Linked DNA regions of Tamandua tetradactyla. The protein of the gene in region 2 purifies or fractionates together with the protein of the main gene of each other region. This does not show direct contact. Links are inferred from orthologs where the notes say so. Each region holds a gene or a part of one and is shown on either strand. Other genes may lie near its edges.

Evidence for each region.
Region 1: the proteins of SQSTM1 (region 2) and IRF3 purify together in Homo sapiens (affinity purification with western blotting; 4 studies listed by BioGRID). This does not show direct contact. The link is inferred for Tamandua tetradactyla from reciprocal best matches to the Homo sapiens genes SQSTM1 and IRF3.

Annotation. Positions count from the first base shown.
Region 1 is NC_135342.1:11,483,890-11,494,089, reverse strand, and holds the start of IRF3 (interferon regulatory factor 3), read right to left. Parts: upstream 4,592-10,200; 5' UTR 4,176-4,591; coding exon of another isoform or gene 4,084-4,175; exon of another isoform or gene 4,067-4,083; intron 3,992-4,066; coding exon of another isoform or gene 3,905-3,991; intron 3,184-3,904; coding exon of another isoform or gene 3,041-3,183; intron 2,827-3,040; coding exon of another isoform or gene 2,712-2,826; exon of another isoform or gene 2,651-2,711; intron 2,334-2,650; coding exon of another isoform or gene 2,288-2,333; exon of another isoform or gene 2,017-2,287; intron 1,980-2,016; exon of another isoform or gene 1,875-1,979; 5' UTR 1,760-1,874; intron 1,049-1,759; 5' UTR 1,041-1,048; coding exon 876-1,040; intron 263-875; coding exon 91-262; intron 5-90; coding exon 1-4. Other genes in the region: BCL2L12 (bcl-2-like protein 12), read left to right, coding at 2,288-2,333, 2,712-2,826, 3,041-3,183, 3,905-3,991, 4,084-4,175, 4,966-5,247, 6,719-6,769.
Region 2 is NC_135346.1:1,371,326-1,381,301, forward strand, and holds the start of SQSTM1 (sequestosome-1), read right to left. Parts: upstream 3,778-9,976; 5' UTR 3,755-3,777; coding exon 3,514-3,754; intron 2,411-3,513; coding exon 2,315-2,410; intron 1,914-2,314; coding exon 1,684-1,913; intron 1,616-1,683; coding exon 1,444-1,615; intron 878-1,443; coding exon 788-877; intron 1-787. UniProt on the Homo sapiens protein: Molecular adapter required for selective macroautophagy (aggrephagy) by acting as a bridge between polyubiquitinated proteins and autophagosomes.

The DNA.
Region 1 (10,200 bases), on a different chromosome or scaffold from region 2:
ACTCCTGTCGAAGAAGGCAGTGAGCAGAGTAGGGGTGCAGGGGACCCCTGCCAGCCCGGCCCTCCACGCAAAGACCTACTCCTGACACACCTGCGTTGACAAACTCATAGATCTTGTGTGGGTCGAGGGGGTCCTTGCTCCGGTCTTCCACAACACGCAAATCCTCCTTTCGGTTCAGAGCCGACCGGAAGTTCCTCTTCCAGGTGGGCCGGTCTTCCTTATCTTTCCCAGGAGTGTAAGCGCCGCTAGCTTCAGCCCAGGCCTGGAGGGACGGTGGGAACGGGGGAGTGACTTAGACCCCGCCCTCCGGGGTGCTAACTCAGCCGCTTGGTATCCTAACACTGCCCTCTTACTGGCGCTTCCTGACTCAGCAAGGTCCCCACCCTTCAATTCCCGGGTTCTCCGTGCCTCAGGTCCCCACCTGAGCACCCAAAGACCTGGGCTCTCTCCCTCTGCCCTCCGGGTCCTATCCGGAGCCGCGCCCCGCTACCAGCGGCCCCAGGACATCCCCGAAATAACCCGCCTCCTGCCCTCCAACTCCCCAAGCCGCCCCGCGGGTGCCCTAGTCTGCTGGTAAGAGGTCCCAATTAGGGACTCTGAACCTCGTCCCCGTGACTCCTGGACCCGTCCCAAGATTGCATTTCCTCCGCCTACGGAGCCCCCCCTTCCTGGTTCCACGGTGGGGGTGGGGGGTGGGAAAAGGGCATTCCCACCCAGCCAGACGCCCGCCCACCTCCGCCCGGCGCACCAGCCCCGGAAGTTCAATACCCGTCGCCAGACCCCGGCCCGGAAGGCTACGCCCGCCTCCCCTCTTCATCCCAGAATCGGCCGCCCGCCGGGACCCGCCAGAGCTATCCGGGCCCGGGCCCACGCACCTGGAAGATGCGGAAGTCCTCCTGCTGCGCATCCTGCCGCAGGCCGTGCTTCCAGGGGATGCGGAAGCGCGTGCGGCTCGCGTCCACCCAGGCCACGCCCTCCAGCTGCCCCAGGTCGAGCTGCACACGCAGCCAGGGCAGGATCCGCGGCTTTTGGGCGCTCATCGTCCGGCCTGCGCGCGGGGGTGGGGGCGGGCAGTGCCTGGGCGCCAGAGGCCTCCACCTGCCCACGCGGCCCGGGCACCCCGCACCCAGACCTCCCTTTCCCGGTACCTCGGGGGCAGATCCCTCAGCCGCGTCGACTCCCTCTTAGCTGGCCCGCCGGAGAGCAACTTCTCCCCCCGTCCCAAAGTAGCCCCCCAACTAAGCAAGGACTCCCTCCCATCTCCAACCGTCCCCAATTTCTGCGGTGCACCTGAACTTCTCCAGTGTAGACGCTTCTCCCATTGCGCCCCACCCTCCCCCAGGACCCAATGCACACACACCCCCACTTCCACACCGGAGCCCTCCCTGATTATTTCCGTATAGACGCTACCTCCGCGGATCGCCCTCGAGTTCCCCCCGGAAGATCCCAGCCTCAACTCCCGGCTTCCAGAGATCTCCAGCCACAATACTCCCCGCGCGATAGGGCACGCCCCCACTTTCTAGACTATCTCTTTTTGCAGAGGAAACTTGTCCTCCCCTCCGTCCCGCGCCGTGGGTCCCTGTCCCTTCCTCCTGCACCTAATGACCTAGGCCACTGCCTCCTGCAGCTTCTCCCGCAGTTTCCCAGCGTGGCCCTTTCTTGTCCCCAGAGTGCACACTCTCCCCATCGCCCCTTCCTCTAGCGCCTCCTCAGTCTGCGACCTCCCCAACACCCTCCCCAGCTCTTCCGCGTTACTCACCTCGGGACTCGCCTCTGTCTTCTGGGCTCCGGGATAGCTCTCCAACTCCAAGCGGCGCACCTGACTTCCCTCCAGCCGGACGTCAGAGCCGTGGGACTTTCTTTGCTACCGACGTCTTGGGATAAAACCCTTTATATAATTTGGGTATAATGATATGCACACCCTCCGGATCTTTTTAGGCAATCCGGTCACAGGCAAGGCATGCTGGGAATGCATATGCAAATAAGAGGGCAGCCGGCGCTCTGGCCCTGCCCTGTCTTGGTGCCGCCCACCCCGCCCAGTGCGCAGGCGTGGGAACGGTAACTTCGAAAGTTTGCCGAAGTTGCAGCGCGGGAGGCGGCGGAGGCGGGGTCGGGGATCAGGTGAGCCGAGCCCTGGCGAGCACCAGGGCGAGCAGGGAAGAGGAGGGGGTCGCGACCCCGAAGCGGGCAGCGCATCCCCGCCTCAACGACACCCAAACGTCCCAGGCCCCCAAACTCCAGCCTCAGCCAGATACGGAACTACACCTCCCAGCAGGCTACGCAGCAAATGAGCGCAGACCGAGGGGAATTTGGCACGAAGCCCTCAGGGATTGGTAATTCTCCGTCCTGGCTGGGCTTCGGTAGCTTGGCTTGGAATCCAGGGGTCGGAGCCCCCAGCCCCCTCCTCCCTGAGACTCAGGAGTCCAGGCCCCCGGTACCCTCCTCTTCCAGGATCCAGGAGTCTTGTCTCAGTGCCTCCTCAGCCCCCTTCTCCCTCTCAAATTCAGGAGTCCAGTCTCCCCAGTCTCCTCCTCCCTTAGACCCAGAAGTTCAGCCCCCAGCCCCTTCCTCTCCCAGGATCCAGGAACCGCAGTCCCCACTCCTCCCATGGGGACCCAGGAGGACGCGCCTCTGACCCTTCCTCCTTCAGGTGCCAAGCCTCCTCTTCCATGTGGACCCTGCGTTCCAGTGCCTGGCTTCCCATCTCACAGGTGCCCCTATGGCAGGCTCAGAGGAGTTGGGGCTCCGGGATGACACACTGAGGGTCCTAGCCGCCTTCCTTAAGCAGGGCGAGGTGTCTGGGTCCCCCGTTACAGCTGCACCCAGGTAAGAAGGGTTGTCCTCCTCCCCTCAAGGGTCCATCTTTGGGGTGGGTCCCTCTCTGACTCTTGCTTCTGGTCTCACTCTGTCTCCTTCCTTCCCTTCATACCTGGTTCTTTTCCCCCGTCCCTGGGGCTACAGGGAGAGGCCCTCAGTGGGAGGAAGAAGGGACTGCTTGCAGGAGGCCTCTGGGGTCACTCTCTGAGGTTCTCCTCTCCAGGAGTCCCACCCAGGAGCAGCCAGCCGACTTCCTGAGCCGCCTTCGCCGATGCCTTCCCTGCCCCCTAGGGCGAGGAGACGTTCCCCCTGACTCCCCTCGGCCTTGCTCCCTGCCCCTCCGCCCCTGCTACAGTTCAGGGCCTGGTAAGAGATTTCCCCAGATCACCTGTGAAACCAGCAGGGCCAAGAGCCTTGATTCCTGAAGCACAGATGAGATCAGGAACTAGTTCAAGACCTCAGTAAGCCTCACCATCCTGCCCTGCCCCAGGAAATCTCTATTTGGGCTGGCTGTGAGAGGCCTGTTGGTTCCTCTCTCTTTGTCATCTCTCTCCTTCCATCCATGCCTCCCTCTCCCCAGACTTTTCTAGTCACAAGTGCCCCCCAGTAGGGAAGGAGAAATGATTTTCAGTCATGCCACTCAGGTTTTGGGGTTGGAAGCTCAACCAAAAATCCTTTCCCTTCCTTGTACCTCCACTCTCCAAAGGCAAAACTAGGAGACTAGTTTAGACTTAAGCAAGAATGGAACAGGTTTCCTCTCATGTGAGTCTGGGAAGACTAGTAATGAGAAGATAAGCACTGAGATCACTGGGTGATGCACGAAGTGGGCCAGACCCAGGGCAGAAAGAGCAGAAAGAACACTATTAGTTTTTCTACCTTGGATGGGAACATCTCCAAGGTTCCGTTTAGCCCTCACATTCTAAGTCCAGATTGGGGGCATGAAGTAGAAAGAACCAGGGTGTGGGGGTCTTTTCAAGCTTGTTCACTGTACTTTGGTGTCCCCCCCCCCCCATTATAAAATGGAAATCATTGCCCCATGGTTGAGAGAAGGAAAGAATGTAGAAGTCACTGATTCCTTTCACCCCAGGCCCGGCTACTCCAGACTTCTATGCCCTGGTGGCCCAGCGGTTGGAACAGCTGGTCCAAGAGCAACTTAGATCCCCACCTAGCCCAGGTGAGGTGCAGAGGCACCGCGCGGGAGGTCGGGAGGTCGGGAGGTAGCAGGGTAGCCACAGTTCGCCCCCAGCAGAATTCTTTTGCCTCCAGAGTTACAGGGTCCCCCACTCACGGAGAAAGAAGCCCTGCTGCGGAGGCTGGTGGCCTTGCTGGAGGAGGAGGCTGAAGTCATCAACGAGAAGGTGATGGTCCATCTCTTCCGTTTCTCAAGGAGGATGGGAATTGGCGGTTGGCAAGGCATTGGGACGAGAAGCTAGATCTGCATTTTCATTGGCTGGTCAGAAGGGGAGTGGGTGGGACAAACCTTAGAGAAAGAGTTGAGTGACAGGAAGTATGGCCAGGGGAGTACTTTAGGCTACTGGCTGTCATTGGCTTAGAGGGGCGTGACCTGTATGTGAAGGGCGTGGCCGTCAGAGGCAAGATCTAGGCAGGAAATTGGGCTAAATTGGATATGTGAGAGGAGGTATCCTTAGGTGGGGGGAAGCGAGACTGTTTAAAATCTGAGGCTCGGATTGACTTCAGCGAGGTCATGGCTTAGAGTGGAACGGACTGCTGGAGGGGGCATGCCTTGCGGCCGAGCTCTCGAATCTGATAACTCCAGAGCTTGGGCAGAATACATGGCTTTACGACAATAGAATGGCAGAGGCCCAGGTTCTTATAGGCCTTAGTTAGGGTTCCGGGGCTCTGATTGGCTCGGCAGGACTAAGGGGGCGTGGCTGAGAGATAAACAGTCTAGAACTCCGCTGCTGTAGAGGTTGGTCCTGATTGGCTGTCGAAACCTAAGGCATGGCTTAGCGTCTGTTTCTAGACCCCGCCCCTGGAACTAATTTCTCTGAGCCCCTAGAACGTGCCTTATAATGAGTTGCTGTTATAGGTGGGGGCGGGGCTTAGAGTCAATTTCTAGGTCTCCTCAGGCCCCCGCGTGGGGGCGTGGCTGAGGTGGGCTCTGCCCCTTCTGTCCCCACCCCACAGCTGGCCTCGGACCCCGCCCTGCGCCGCAAACTGGCCCGCCTCTCCGCCGCCTCTTTCGCGCGCCTCGTGGAGCTCTTTTCCAGCCGCGGGAGCGGCCCGGGCCCCGCACATGCCTCGCAGCCGTGCCCCGGACCCCCTCCGCCCTCCCCGGAGCCCCTGGCGCGCCTGGCCCTGGCCCTGGAGCTGAGCCGGCGCGTGGCCCACCTGGGGGGCACCCTGGCGGGACTCAGCGTGGAGCACGTGCACAGCTTTGCGCCCTGGATCCAGGCCCACGGGGGCTGGGTGAGCCGTCGCAGCGCCTTCCGGGCCTCGCAGCACTCGACTGAGCTGTGTGTGTGGGGGGGGGCGGCTTCTCAGGCTCCCCTTCCAACTGGCAAGTGCCCCCCCCCATTGAAGCCCTCCGTTCCTCTTGTGCACCAGGCACAGGGGATCGGTGCAGAGGCTCTTCCTGTCTTAAATGGTTCTACCATGCCGATGACCCCCGTGAGCCCCGAAACTAACCACTGTCCCTCCTGGCGCCTCTACACGTCTGTAAAGTGGGGGGAGTGGTTGGATTAGGATGGGATACTTGGAGGGTGCTGGCTCCGCGGGGACATTTGGTGCCTGGCTGTCCCCCTGTGGCTGTCCGAGTGCCCTTCCCGGCTATTCCTCTGCCTCCCCTCTTTGCTAATTTACTCAGGGAGGCCCCCCTCACCTCCACTGGGATTCTCAGCCATCTCCCTGCCCTTCCACCCTCTCCCTTCCTTCTCCTGCTTTCCTTCATCCCACCGCATTCACACCTTCTAACAGACGCTCGTGTAGAGCTCACTTGTTTTGCATGTTTGCAGCAGCTACTTAGGATCAAGATTTTCTCCCTTGTCTGCCCGCTGCCAGCGCCCTCTAAGGGCTGGATTAGGGCCCATTGTTCTGGCCTTGCGACCTTGGCAGCCTTTAGCAACAGTCTTGTCCCCGAGCCCGTCTGCCGCCTGCCCAGTGCTCACGGTTTCCTTCGCGGACCCGCCCCGTAAATCACAGTGGGAGCAGTGAGAGGAGGCCGTGCGGGGCTCATGAAATGGAGCCATCATCGCGCAAACGGGCAGCAGCGGGCGAGTGTGGCTGGAGCAGGATGAGCGAGGCAGGGGGCGGGGGGATTTGGGCGGGGGGCGGGTGAGGAGTGTCCAGATCCTGCAGAGCCTAGTGGGCCTCGGCAAGGAGCGGGCCTCGGGAGGGCTCAGGGACGTGGGTTGCTGACTGTGGGAACCGGCGCCCTCTGGTGGCCGCGTGGGGAATGGACTCGGAGAGGGGGGGTCAAGGAGGTGGGGAGCCCTGGTGGGAGGTTGGAGGTGTCCACCTAGCCTTCGGGCGCCCTTTAGACCACCTAAGCGAGATGTTTAGGAGACAGTGGACATAAGTGTCTGGGACTCAGCGAAAATGCATTTATTTATAAAAAAATTTTTCTGAATAAGGATAATGGGTAAGCTGGGGTGAGCATTGGCGGTTGGGGGGCAGGTACTTAGGATAGTAGCTGAGCCATCCAGTTAATCTGCATGACAACTTTATGGGGTTCTGTTACCCTCATCTTACAACTGAGGGAAACTTCATCATTAAAACCCCAGACCTCTGGGTCTCCGTCCCCCCCCACCCCCCCCCACGGGTCTATGTCCCCTTCCCCACTTGTTCGTTGCTATCCCCTGTCTCTGACCTCACCGGGCCAGGGTGGATACCGCTGTGCTGAGGTCACCTTCCCTGATCACTGGGCTCTTTCCCCCTCCAGGAAGGTCTCCTGGCCATCTCCCCTGTGGACTTGAACTTACCCCTGGACTGAGATCATCCTCAGAAGCTTCTACAGAACTCGACCTCACGTCCCCGCCCTTCTCAGGTGCTGTGCCAGGAGTCCCCGCTGCACTCAGGACTGGGGGGATGGGGGCTGGGAGGGCCGCCTTTTCTATTTTTGCCAAAAAATATATATATATGTTTCTAAACTTTTTATATTAAAAATTTTTTTAAGTGTTTATTCTTTCACTTGAGAACTAAAGTGTCTCCTTCCCCAAGAAGTTAGGCTCAAGTATCACTGTGGTTTATTAATTGAGGAAAGAACCAAATCCTTCCTTGGAGAAAAATTTCTTCTCAGCAGCTACAAGAGTTGTCACCTGGACACACAGCATTCTTGATATCTGTAAAGATGATTCCAGCTCATTGCATTTTGTTCCCTGTTGGTACCATATGTTTATCCCAGCTAAACCAGTAGAGATAGTGTTGGGGTTTTTCCAGCTAGTCCTGGAAGAAGATCAACAACTTTCTTCAGGGAGTTTTCAGGGTACCTTCCTTTCCCCGTTTTTCTCCTCTCTTCCTGTTGCTCCTTCTGAACCTTTTTGGGGTTTCACACCTTTTTAGGGCTATTGATCCCTTCACAGAGTAACACTTCTAAAGGCAGGAAATGAAATGCACAGGGTTACAAAGGAAACCAATGGTACAGAAAAAGTTATCACTATTACCGTAAAAATTGATGTTGTAATAATAGGTGTGCTTCATGAGTGCATTAATCAGAAAGACCCAGTGTGTGTCTGATGACCTTGATTTTGAAGTAGTCATGACAATGATTGACATTTTGAAGGGTGTCATGCATCGAATGGTCTCCCCCTGTGCTGGTTTGAAAGGATGTATGCCCCCTAGAAAAGCCATGTTTTAATCAAAATCCCATTTCATAAAGGTAGAATAATCCCTATTCAATACTGTATGTTTGAAACTGCAATCAGATCATCTCCCTGGATGGTGTGATTTAATCAAGAGTAATTGTTAAGCTGGATTAGATGAAGACATGTCTCCACCCATTCGGGTTGGTCTTGATTAGTTTCTGGAGTCCTGTAAAAGAGGGAACATTTTGGAGAATGGGAGATTCAGAGAAAGCAGAGCAGAACAACATAGCCACGAGAGCTCATCACCAGCGACCTTTGGAGATGAAGAAGGAACATGCCTCCCAGGGAGCTTCATGAAACAGGAAGCCAGGAGAGAAAGCTAGCAGACGACCCTGTGTTTGCCATGTGCCCTTCCAGATGAGAGAGGAACCCTGACTGTGTTCGCCATGTGCCTTCTCACTTGAGAAAGAAACCCTGAACTTCATCGGCCTTCTTGAACCAAGGTATCCTTCTCTGGATGTCTTTGATTGGACATTTCTATAGACTTGTTTTAATTGGACATTTTCTTGACCTTAGAACTGCAAACTAGCAATTTATTAAATTCTCCTTTTTAAAAGCCATTCTGTTTCTGGTATATCGCATTCTGGCAGCTAGCAAACTAGAACAACCCCTAAAAAGATAATGTTGAAATTCTGATTCCTGATACCTGTGAACATGTTCTTATTTGAAAATGTCTCTACAGGTGTCATTAAGTCCAGATGAGGTCACACTGAATGAAAATGGGCCCTATCCCCATATGACTCATGTCCTTATTGGGAGCAAAGGGACAGGGAAGTCACCCATGTGAAGATGGAAGCAGAGACAAGAGAGGCAGCCACAAGCCAGGGGCCACCAGAGGTCACTGATGACCATCAGATGCTGGGAAGAGGCTTAGACCTGCCAACACCTTGATTTCAGGCTCCTGGCCTCCTCCACTACGGAAGCATGCATGGCTGTGTGTTTGTTTTTAATGCAATTTTATTGAGATACATTCACATACCCTATAATCATCCAAAGTCTACGATCAGTGGTTCAGAGTATCATCATATACTTGTGTACTCATCACCACAATCAATTTTTTAACATTTTAGTTACTCCAAAAAAAAAAAAAGTACGTACAAGAATTAAAAATGAAAAAGAATACCCAAAATATCCCATGTCCCTTATTCCCCACCCATATTATTTATTTTTGGTCATTTTTTTCACTCCTCGGTCCATATACTGGATAAAGACAGCGTCGGCCACAAGGTTTTCACAATCACACGGTCACACTGTAAAAGCTATATAGTTATATAACTGTCTTTAAGAATCAGTGCTACTGGAATGCAGTCCAACAGTTTCTGGTATTACCTTCTAGCTATTCTGAATCACTAAGAACTAAAAAGGGATATCTATGTAATGCATGAGAATAATTTGACTGTATTTGAAATCTCTCAGCCACTGAAACTTAATTTTTTTATGTTTTTTTTTTACTTTTTTTTATTGTATAGTATAACATATACACAAAGCAAAGAAATAAAAAAGCAATAGTTTTGAAAGCACTCTTCAACAAGTAGTTATAGGACAGAGCCCAGAGTTTGTCATGTGCTACCATACGATCTCATATTTTTCCTCCTAGTTGTTCCAGATATGGGAGCAACTAGCAATATTAAGCTAGAGGGCATAAATATTTTTTTTATCATCAGTCGGCTTCTTTCCTTTTTTTTTGTGAAAAATAACATATACACGGAAAAAAAGCGATGAATTTCAAAGCACAAGACCACAATTAGTTGTGGAACAGATTTCAGAGTTTGACATGGGTTACAATTTCACAATTTTAGGTTTTTACTTCTAGCTGCTCTAAAATACTGCAGGCTAAAATAGATATCAATTTAATGATTCGGCATTCATACTCATATGTTAAATCCTATCTTCTCTGTATAACTCCACCATCAACTTTGATCTTTCCATCCCTCTCTTTAGGGGTATTTGGACTATGGCAATTCTAAATTTCTCATTTGGGAACGATCTGTCTGAAACTTAATTTCATCTCATTTCTCTCTTCTTCATTTCGGTCAAGACGGCTTTCTTAATCCTAGGACGGTGGGCCCAGGCTAATCCCCAGGAGTCATGTCTCACATTGCCAGGGAGAGTTACACTCCCTGGGAGTCAGGTCCCGTGAAAAAGGGAGGGCAGTGAGTTCCCCTGCCAATTTGGCTTAGAGAGAGAGGCCACATCCGAGCAGCAAAAGAGGTTCTCTGGGGATGATTCTTAGGCATAACTATAAGTAGGCTTAACTTCTCCTTTGCAGGAATGTTTCATAGGGGCTGGTATTTTTTTTAATATTTCCTCCTTTCTCTCTAGTCCCCCAAGGGGGCTTTTCAAATACTTCTTATATTCTCTGCCCAAATTACTCTGGGATGTATCGGGGCATCACACTAACCCGGAAAAACCAACAAGATCTCACTCCCTGTTCAAGATTCCATGTAATTATGATGTTCAACTAAACTGACCGTACAGGTTAAAGGAAATAGTGTGCTGCCAAGAAACGTAAATTTTGCACCAAATAAACATCTCTTCCTTTGGTCTCACACAGAAGTTG
Region 2 (9,976 bases):
TCCGGATGGTGGGGCATGACGTGCTGACGCCGACACTGGCTTTCACGCTTTGAGGAAATACCCCTCTCCCCAGGCCCCAGCCAGTATGGGGTCTGGCCACCATGCAGCCCCAAGAACCAGAACACAAATCTCTGCTTGTCCAGACCCCCGGGGCTGAACTGCCTGTCCCAAGTCCTGGCCTCAGTGGAACGCTTCCTGCGGCCACAGGGGGTGGGCCTCAGCCTGCGCCTTGTCAGCCAACACCACAGAGGGGACACTCGCTGAGGCACCCCCAGCAAACCCGCTCTGAAATCTGGGGTGCTGCAAACACATGCCAGCAGCAGCCTTTCTCCAGGGTTCCCTCCCACCCCCAGCACAAGGCACAGGCCCAGCGCTTGTGAAACACCAGGGAAGGTCTGGGGACTACAAACAAAAAGGGAGAAAAAGGGTTAGTCACCCACGTCCTTGAGTAAATCTCCAGGCTCACATCGCCTTCCCCAGAGGAGTACACAGGCATGGGTGGCAGCCAACCCCTCCTCCGAGGCCTGGGCACCCTACTTGGCGCTGCTGTCCCAACCCGTGCTGGCTGACTGGAAAGCCCAGGCATCTGTCAGCGAGCTCAGTCTTGAGCTGCCTGTGTTCCTGCACTTGGCAAAGGCTGATGTGGGGCAATAAGTACTCGGGAGTGTCCAGGACACACAAGTTACCCGCTCCTCTGCAGAGATCATCTGAGGTCAGTGTCGCAAAAAAAACCCCACGTTTGTACGGGGTTACCAAAACTCTCAGACAGAGGAGAAAGCCCACTTACCCAACGGGCTGAGTGCAGCCGCCACGCTTTCTCCTACGTTCTTCAGGAAATGGACACTGGCATCTTCTGGTGGGCCAGCAGCTTTGACTTCTAAAAGCAGAAGTGGGAGGCATGTTTAATTCCAACCACATGTCCTGGTGACTCTGATGCCTGCTGCGGTCCTGCCTGCTCCTTCCCAAGGCCCCTGCTGTCCCAGGGGCACCTCTGACTGCAGCCTAGGCCCACAAAGCTCCCCTCCCCCTCCCCCTCCCAGGAGGCCACGTCCTGGACACCTTTCCCCCAGCACAGGCCCAGGACAAGCAGAACCAAAATAATGGCCACAGCCTATGTAGGTCATTCAGAAACCAAGCCGGTACCTTGTCAAAGACACAATGACATTACTACAACCAGGAGGAGACACTACCCTGAAAACAGGACACCAGCTACGTGTAAGCTTCTAACTCTGTGACTATGCGTTAAAGGTGAGCAAGCCTGGCTGAATCTCCTGACAGCTGGCACAAAAGAGGACAGTGGGGCAGGCTACAGGGACCCAGAGGGGTGAAGCGGGAAGGGCTCTCGGGTCTGAGCACTGCATTGCCTCAGTTTCCCCATGAGGAATGGAAATGACACTCCCACTGGGTGGGATTCCCTCCACCTGCAGGCGCCCTGGGCCTCACCTGACTCCGCCGAGGGGCCGGGGGGTGCCTCCCCATCGCGGGGCGGCCGTGGGCTCCAGTTCCCCGGTGGGCCCATCTCCCAGCCCGGCCACCCGAAGTGCCCGTGCTTCAGCTTTCGGAGCCAGCGGCTGTGCGAGAAGCCCTGCCAGAGGGCAGAAGAAGGACGGGGGGGCTGTGGGTCTGTGGCTCCCCCACCCCCATCCCCGCACCACCCCAGGCCCACCGCCAGACTCTGCTCACCTCCAGGAGGTGCCCCAGGGGGCTGGAGAAGGCGAGCTTGCCGTGCTCTGGGTGCAGGCCCTTCTCCTCGCAGCCGGCACACAGGTCGTAGTCGGGGCACACGCTGCACTTGTAGCGGGTCCCCACCACAGGCCCATTGCAGCCGTCACAAATCACGTTGGGGTGCACCAAGCTGCGGGGCGCCTCCTGAGCGCCCGGGGGCCGGTGGTCTCGCCGGCATTCCTTCTTTTCTGTGGGGAGGGGAGGCAGCCAGTGGGGTCAGGTCCTGGGAGTCTGTCCAGGACCCAGCTGCTTTGGGCGGCCGGTGAGCAGCAGCTTCTGGCTCCTCAAACAACCCCCAAGCACCCGAAGCCGCCCCGGCCTTGGTGGCACAAGCCCCCGGAGGGCGGGAGGGGCGCCGAGGCTGACCCCGTGTGCAGCGAGGCGGGGCGCGGCCAATGCCGGGCGGCGCGAGGCCTGGGCACCCGGCGGTGAGCGGGGCAGCGGAGGGGCCCCAGACCCGGCTGCGCTGCACGACGGCCTCCAGACCCCGGGCCCTGCGCGCAGCGCCAGCGCCTCCTCTGCAGCAGGAACACAGCGTCTAAGACCGCCCCTGCCCCCCTGGCCTCGGGGTCGGCAGGCAGCCCCTCACCTTTCAGGTAGATGCGGAAGGTGCCGTCACTCACGCCCGACGTCGCCATCGCCAGCTCCTCGTCGCTCGAAAAGGCCACGAGGTCGCCGTCCTCATCTGGTGTGGGGAAGAGAGGTGAGTGCCCGCGCCTCCTGCGGGGCTGAAACGGGCTGAGGCCGGTGCCAGGGGGCACGTGGGGGACCCCGTCCCGGGGAACCGCAGGGTGGGAGGCAAGACCCGCCGCCACCGTGACGGCGTCGGGAAGGGGGGGCCCCGGGCCGGCCTGCTCCGAGCCTGTGACTGGTGCGCGGTCTCCGGGTTTTATTGTCGGACCCACCCTGCGGCCCAAACCTCGCCGCGCATCCCCATCAGCTGAACCCCGCAAGGACAGGGCAGCGCCAAAACACGGAAACGTCAGAAAGACCCGAACGCGAGTGTTTCAGGGTACAGGTCTGTCCCTTAAGATAATGAAAAGGTCCTAAAATATGTGTGAGCGTGCTGAAACCACCATATTCTGCACGCTCCTGAGCGTCCTGCCCGGACAACAACTACAGCCCACGGAACAATTACAAAGGAAAAAGACACGGGACGGGCCCGGCAGCCCCGCCCTCCCTTTCGGCCCGCCCCCGGCCCCCCCAACCCCCCCCCCCCCAGCTCCCGGCCTGCAGGAGCCGGCCCTGCACTCACAGGCCCTCCCCCGCCCACCCCCCGCCCACCCCCGGCCCTGCGCTCACAGCCCCTCCCCCAGCCCACCCTCTGCCCCGCGCATGCCGGGGGACACCCGGGCGGCTTCGCACGTCTCTCCCGCCTGGCCCAGGTGGGCCCTCCTCCGCGCCGGCTCGGCCTGCGGTCTCCGGACATCAGCTGACCCCACCCCGCCCCCGGCGCTGGCAGCGGGAGGCGACAGCCGGCGGACGTCAGCGTAACCCGAGTGTCCGCCGCCCGTCCCGACCCCGCCCCGGGGGCGACCTTGCGGGATCTGCAGTGCCCGGCGGGGGAGGGGAGCCTCACGCCCCCAGGCCGGAGCGCCGCTGGGGGGCCTGGCAGCCCGCACGGACCGGGCCGGGCCTGTGCTCGAACTCCCTGCCCCCGGCGGCCACCCGAGGCCCAGCTGTGGCCGGGCACAGCCATCACCCGCCCCTGCCCGGCTTGGGAAGGGGTGGGGGGAGGGAGGGAGGAGGGAGGAGCGCCCGCCAGCCCCGGACCCCCGCCCCGCTCACCGCGGTAGTGCGCCACGAAGCCCCCAGGCCGCAGCCCCGGGAACAGGGCGGCCACCCGGCGCAGCAGGCGCTCGCAGGGCCCCGCGCCGACCAGGGCGTCGGCTCCCGGCCCGGGCCCGGACTCGGGCTCGGGCTCGGGCTCGGCCTCGGGCTCGCGGCCGAAGCAGAACCTGAAGCGGCGGATCTCGCGCGCCGCCTCCTCGCGGCCCAGCAGGTACGCCTTCACCGTGAGCGTCGCCATGGCCGCGCCGGCACTGCGCCCGGCCCGCCGCCGCCGCCGCCTTTGTAGAGCGGGAGCCCCGCTCTGCCCCGCCCCCTGGGCGGAGCCTCGTCGCCCCGCCCCGCCCCGCCGCCGCACTCGCGAGCCGCCCTGCTGGGGCCCCGGCGCGGGCCGCCCTCCGCGGACCCCGGCCCCGCGGCCTCCTCCCGACGGCCCCTCCCTCGCCGCCCGCAGGTGCAGGGGTCCCCTAAGGCGGCCCCCGCAGGGCGGGTTCCTGTGCTTATACCGCGGCAGCCTGGGCTGAGGCGCTGGTCCCGGGGGAAGGGGCGGGACCCCAGGCCCCTCCCCAGACCTGGGCCTGGTCGTGACGCAGCACTACAGCCTCGCGGCTGCCCCGGAGCAGAGTCGGGGGGCCGAGGCCCCTCGGTGGGTCCGGCCGCCGGGAGCAGGCAGCCCCCGTTCTAACGCGCTGAGGGTCCCCAGGCCCCTGGAGCAGCGGACTCCCCCGGCACTGCACAGCATCGCCCACGCCTGAGCCCTAACGGGGTGGACGGTCACGCCCGACTCAGGCCTGAGCTCCACAGCCCCCCAGTTTAGTTGAGAGGTGCTGGAAGAGCACAGGGGGGCGCCAGCCCTGCAGGATGTCAGGTGTCACCGAGTGGTCATCGCGGCCCAGATGCCCACCTGTCAGGGTTCAGTTCAGTGGGCGCCAGCCAGCTGTGGCTTTAGGTTCCTAGGTTCTTGGCCAGGGCTCGAGAAAGGATTCAAGGGCACAGCACAGCCGGGAAGCAGACAGAGTTTATTCAGTATTCTCCGTGGCGGCTCCTGTACTGGGCACACAAAAGTAGTAGCGAGAGGACGCTCTCCCAAAAGGAAAGAGATGAGAGGAGCAGGACACGGTGGGAAGGCTTGCTTTTTATTATAATTTTCAACTTTTTCTTATGAAATATATATACACAAAGCAATAAATCTCCAAGTACATTTTAACAAGTAGTTATAAAACAGAGTTTAAAGTTTTGTGTGGGTCATAGTTCCACAATTTTTCATTTTTCCTTCTAGCTGCTCCAAGACCCTGGAGGCCAACAGAAATATCGGTATATAGTGACTCAGCAATTATACTCTGAATGTCATTCAACATTTGCTAAATCCTGTCTTCTCTGTTCTAACTCCTCCTCCTCCTTTAATCCTTCTCCCAATCTTTAGGGGTATTTGGGATTCTAACTTTTTCATGTTGGAAGGGGCTGTGGATAATATGGGTTGGGGATGGAACCAGCTGATGTCTGGAGAGGCTGGGCCCTCTGGGTTTCAGGACTTCTCTGGCCTAGGAACCATCTGGAGGCTGTAAGTTTCTGGAAAGTTCCCCTAGTGCACGGAACCTTTGTAGGGTCTCAGATAGAGCCCTGGGTGTTCTTTAGGGTTGATAGGATGGTGTTGGTGTTGATAATAGCAATATCAAGGGTATGCTTTTATTGTTTTTTGTTCCTTTTGTAACTTTTATTAATTATTTTACTACCTTCCCCTTCTCCCTTCCTTGTGACACTTGGCCCTGGATGACTCGCTCAGGTGGGGTCAGTTTGCCGCAGGTGCCGTTTATTGCTTCCCTCCTTGTGGCCTGCCTGCTTTTTTGGAATTTGCTCTCTGCTGATCCCCCTGCCTCAGTTGGGAGCCAGGGGCCTGTGGGCCTTAGGGCAGGGGCGTCAGAACAGCTGGGAGACAGTAACCAAGAAACACTGTACTTGAGGGCAGCGACCTGGGGCAGCCCAGCCCAGGGCCTGTGGGGTGCCTTGGAAAGACCTGGCGGGAAGGGTATGTGGCCCTCTGGAGTGCCCAGGTGGGGGGCCTGTGGGAGGGTCAGATCTGTGGTCAGATTCGTGGTGTTTCAGAGGGGGCTTAGTGGGAGACCCAGAGACCAAGGGAGATTGGGGGGCAGGGCGCGTTGTCAGGTGCAGTGATTGCCTGTGGGAAGGCAGCAGGCACTGACCCCGGGTGGGGCTGACCCTGCCCAGGGACCTCCAAAGAGGAGCTCCCTGCCCTGCCCGGGGCAGCCCTGCAGAAAGGCGGGGGGGGGGGGGGGGGGGGGGGGGGGGGGCGGGGGGGGGGGGGGGAATGTTGGCGAGCGGGGAGGGAGCGCGTGGGTGGGGTGCCCGGTCCGGGCGCACAAGGAAAGCCGGTCTGGGGTGGGAGTCGGGACCCGGAACGAGCAGCGGGACCCCGAGGTCGCCCCCTGGCACGCTCCCGCCTTCTCATTTGGAACCGTGGTGAGGGTTCCCCCAGAAGCCCCGAGCGCGGCCCTTGGCCTCCCCTCCCCCAAGGCGGCGGGGGCGCGGGAACCCGCGCAGCACCGGAACCCCCTGGCGGGGCCCTCCCCGCCCCCGGGCTGCGTGGTCAGGTGGCCGGGCCCGTCCGGCCGGCCGTGAGTCAGCGCCGCGTGACCCGCGCCGTCAGCAGGGGATCCCCGGCCCCTCTCGGTGGCATCTCACCTGCGGCCGGGTGGGCTGCCTGCGGGCCCCAGGCAGGGTGGCACAGCTGGCAGCCAGGTCCCTCCCCGCTGCCCCCTGTGTACCCTTCGCCGGCGGCCCTTCCCCCCGGTGCCCGCTCAGCCCACCCGCCCTCCGGGACGACCTCGCGGGCGCTGACCCCGGCCCGCCTGGCGCCTCGGCGCGAACAAGCGGCCCCGCCGTGCCCCGCCTGGAGATGGGCGGCAGTGCGGTGGTTGGGGCGCCCCCCGCGCGCTGGCGCGGTCCGGGTCCGGGGCGGGCACCCTGAGCAAGCTGCGCCCGGCAGGCCTTAAAGGGGACTGAGGAGCACAGGGGCGGCCCCTCCCCACGCAGCCCACCGCCCCAGAGATGAGCCTCCCTGGGAGGGGAAGGGGTCCAAGGCGGTTTGGCCGGACCTGTCCCTGCACTGCGTGGGGCCTGCTCAGGGCCAGGGGACCCGCCTGCCAGTCCTCCCCAGGCCCTCACTCCCACGGGCCACAGCCCCTGCCCGGTGCACGTGCCCACTTCTCCCTGCACATGTCCACTCTTTGCGCATGCCCACTCCCTCGCCCGGTGACTTCTTGGTTCTTCCCCGGCCTGGACCCCCCTCCCCACGCCCTGCAAGGCAGCCTCCCCCCTTGTCTGCTCCTCAATGGGACCTTCCCTGACACCCCACCCCAGCCCAAACGCCTCAGGCCCTGGGTGTAACCCCCTTTTAGCCCCTTCCTACAGAGGCCCACAGAGCGTTCTCAGAGGACAGGGGGCAAGGGGTCAGGGAAATGCAAGATGAAGCCCAGGAGCCGCTGCTGAGGTTAGGTGAGGCCTAGGGCCGCTGGGGGGAGAAGCAGGCGCTGCGGGTGGGGTGAGGGCTGTCCCACGCATTCTGGGGTGGGGGAGAGTTTGGGGCCAGGTGGAGGGAGTAGCTGCTTGAAGAGGTGCGGCTGGGTCCGGGCTGCACCCCCGGCGGGCCAGTGTCCTCCCCCCACCTCCCACAGAGCAGTACCCTCCCCCCTCAAACCTCCCCAGTGAGCTGTCTGGCCTTGAGGCTTGACCCATCCAGATCCTCAAAGTCTGGGTGCACGACCACCAGCCCCTGGGCCCTGGCACCCCTTTGACCTCTGGGGTCCTGGAGGAGAAGCCGAGGTCCCCCAGACCTGTGTTCTGGCTGCGGCTGAGGCTAGGGCAGGAGTTCCAGGGCCTTGCACAATTCCCCTCCTTTTTAGGATGGAAATTTTCCTTGGGGGACTACCATAGAGAACAGGGTGGGGTCGGCATGGGACCCAAGCTGGGCCTGAGTCATGTAACCCCCTGGGTCCGAGGTGGACATGAGTGTCAAGCCGGCTCCTGAAGTGCCCTCCAGGGCCACCCCAAGGCAGGCCCTTAGCATCTTCTGGTTGGGGTGGGTGGTTGCCCCAGGCCCGCTCCAGGGTTCCAGATGGCAGTGAGGGCCACACAAGGTGGCCAGACCCAGGGGGTCAGCCTGAGCCTGTCCCCTCTGTCACCCTCAAACCCCCAGCGGCTTCTGTTGACAGAACTTCCCAATAATAAATGATATTAATAGTGTATGGGTATCACCCATGTAGCACCCGTTTTATGCCAAGAAACATCAAAACACTCGACAGATATTAACCACCTACTACTCCCTTGAAGTGGGACCAAGCCATGCTAGTCCTGGCCAAGGACCTGCGAGGAGGGGGCCATGCATCATTTCCAGACCAAACCACATATGTGCCGACATCGGAGCTCCCAGACTTTTCCTTCCTCCACAGGGAAGCCTGCAGCATTTGAGAGAGCAACCACCCAGGCCCCTGACCTTGGGGCTCGTCCCTGTGGACCTTATTCCTGCAAAGGAGAAGCTACGCCTACTAATAACTGTGCTTAAGAGTCACACCCAGGGAGCCTCTTGTTGCTCAGACACGGCCTCTCTTTCTAAACCAACCCGGCAGGTGAACTCACTGCCCTCCTTCCTACGTGGGACGTGACTCCCAGCGGTGTAACTTCCCTGGCAATAATGGACAGAACTCCTGGGATGAGCCAGGACCTGGGACCGTGGCATGGAGAAAGCCTTCTTGACCAATAGGAGGAAGAGAAAAATGAGACAAAGTAAAGTGTCAGTGGCTGAGAGATTTCAAACAGTCAAGAAGTTATCCTGGAGGTTATTCATAGGCATTCTAGGGACGTGCAGTTTTCATTTATGGTGGAATGGAGTGGCTTGGGGAAGTTACCTGAAACTGTTGAGCAGTGTTCCCCTAGCCTTGATTCTTGAAGAGGATCATCTAAAGATACAACTTTTACAATGTGACTGTGGTCTTGGGAAATTCATTTTTCTTGAATCGATTTCATTCCATTCATTTATTCAAGAAAAATCCATTTTTATTGAAAACCCCTTTTCCTGAATCTTGAAGATGATTGTATAACTATAGAGCTTTTACAGTGTGACCATGTAATTGTGAAAGCCTTATGGCCGACACTACCTTTATCCACGGTATAGGCAGATGAGTAAGAAAATAAGAATAAAAAAATAAATAATGGCGGAGATAAAGGATAAAAATTGGGTAGATGGAAATACTAGTGGTCAATGATAGGGAGGGGTAAGGGATATGGGATGTATGAGTCTTTTCCTTTGTCTTTTTATTTCTTTTCTGGAGTGCGTTTTTTCTTTTTGTTTCTTTTTCTGGAGTGATACAGATGTTCCAAAGTGATCATGGTGATGCATACACAACTATGTGATGCTATTGTGAGCCATTGTGTACCTTGGATGGACTGTATGTGTGTCAAGATAGCTCAATGAAAATAGTTTTAAAAGAAGAGAGCAGTCGTTCCCTGCAGCCTGGGTCCTTGGGGATTACAATGAGCAGAGGCCCCAGGCCACCCTTGATGGATATACAATGTTGGAAAATACAGTTTTATTAAACCCGAGGAATTTGGGATTGTCACAGCAGCATACCCTAACCTATACTGACCATTGTCCCCACCTTATCCAGGGAAAGGAGCAAGAAAGAGTTAAGCGACTTGTCCCAGGTCCCAGCTAGTAAGTGGCAGACCCAGGCAGACTGTCTTGACTTCCAGTCTCCCCCACCCTCCTTTGAGACCCTCTCTTAGGCACCCTCGCAGCCCCTTAGTGAACTCCAGCTTTCTCGCAGCATCTGACTTGATCATTTCAAAATACAGACTCCGGCTCAGCCCACCCCAGGCCGCGCTTTGGACTCGGCAGCCCTGTGCTTTCCGCCCAGCTGCGAGGCGGAGGAGCCCGACCCCGGCCAGGTGGGCAGGACCTGCTCGGGCCCCCATCCGGCCCCCTCCCTGCCGCGCTGCGCGGGGGGCAGCCTCGGGGCGCCGAGCCGGGTGAGCCCCCTTACGAGCCCGCGGGCAGGGGATGGGCTGGGGCCGCGGGGCGGGGGCTCCTCCCGGGGCGCCCGCGCTGAGCCGGCCCCGAGGTAGGCGCGTGCCCGAGCACGCGTGGCCGTGGGGAGCGGACGCGGCGGCCCCCAACCCGGGGCGCCGAGCGTCGGTTGCTGGTGAGCGACAGGCCGGCGGGTCCGGCGGCTCCGGGGTGTCCGGTGGGTCGGGGTCTCCGGCTCCTCAGCAGGGCGGCCAACACCGCCCGAGGCCGCGGAGGGAGCACGGAGGGCCGTGGCGGCGCGGACGGGCGAGCCCCTGCCGGGAGCGCCCAGGGGCCGGGGGCGCGGCAGGCCGAGGCGGAGGGTGGGCAGGGGAGCCCCACGAGGCCCCGGCGGCAGAGGCGGAATAAATGAATGAGTCCATC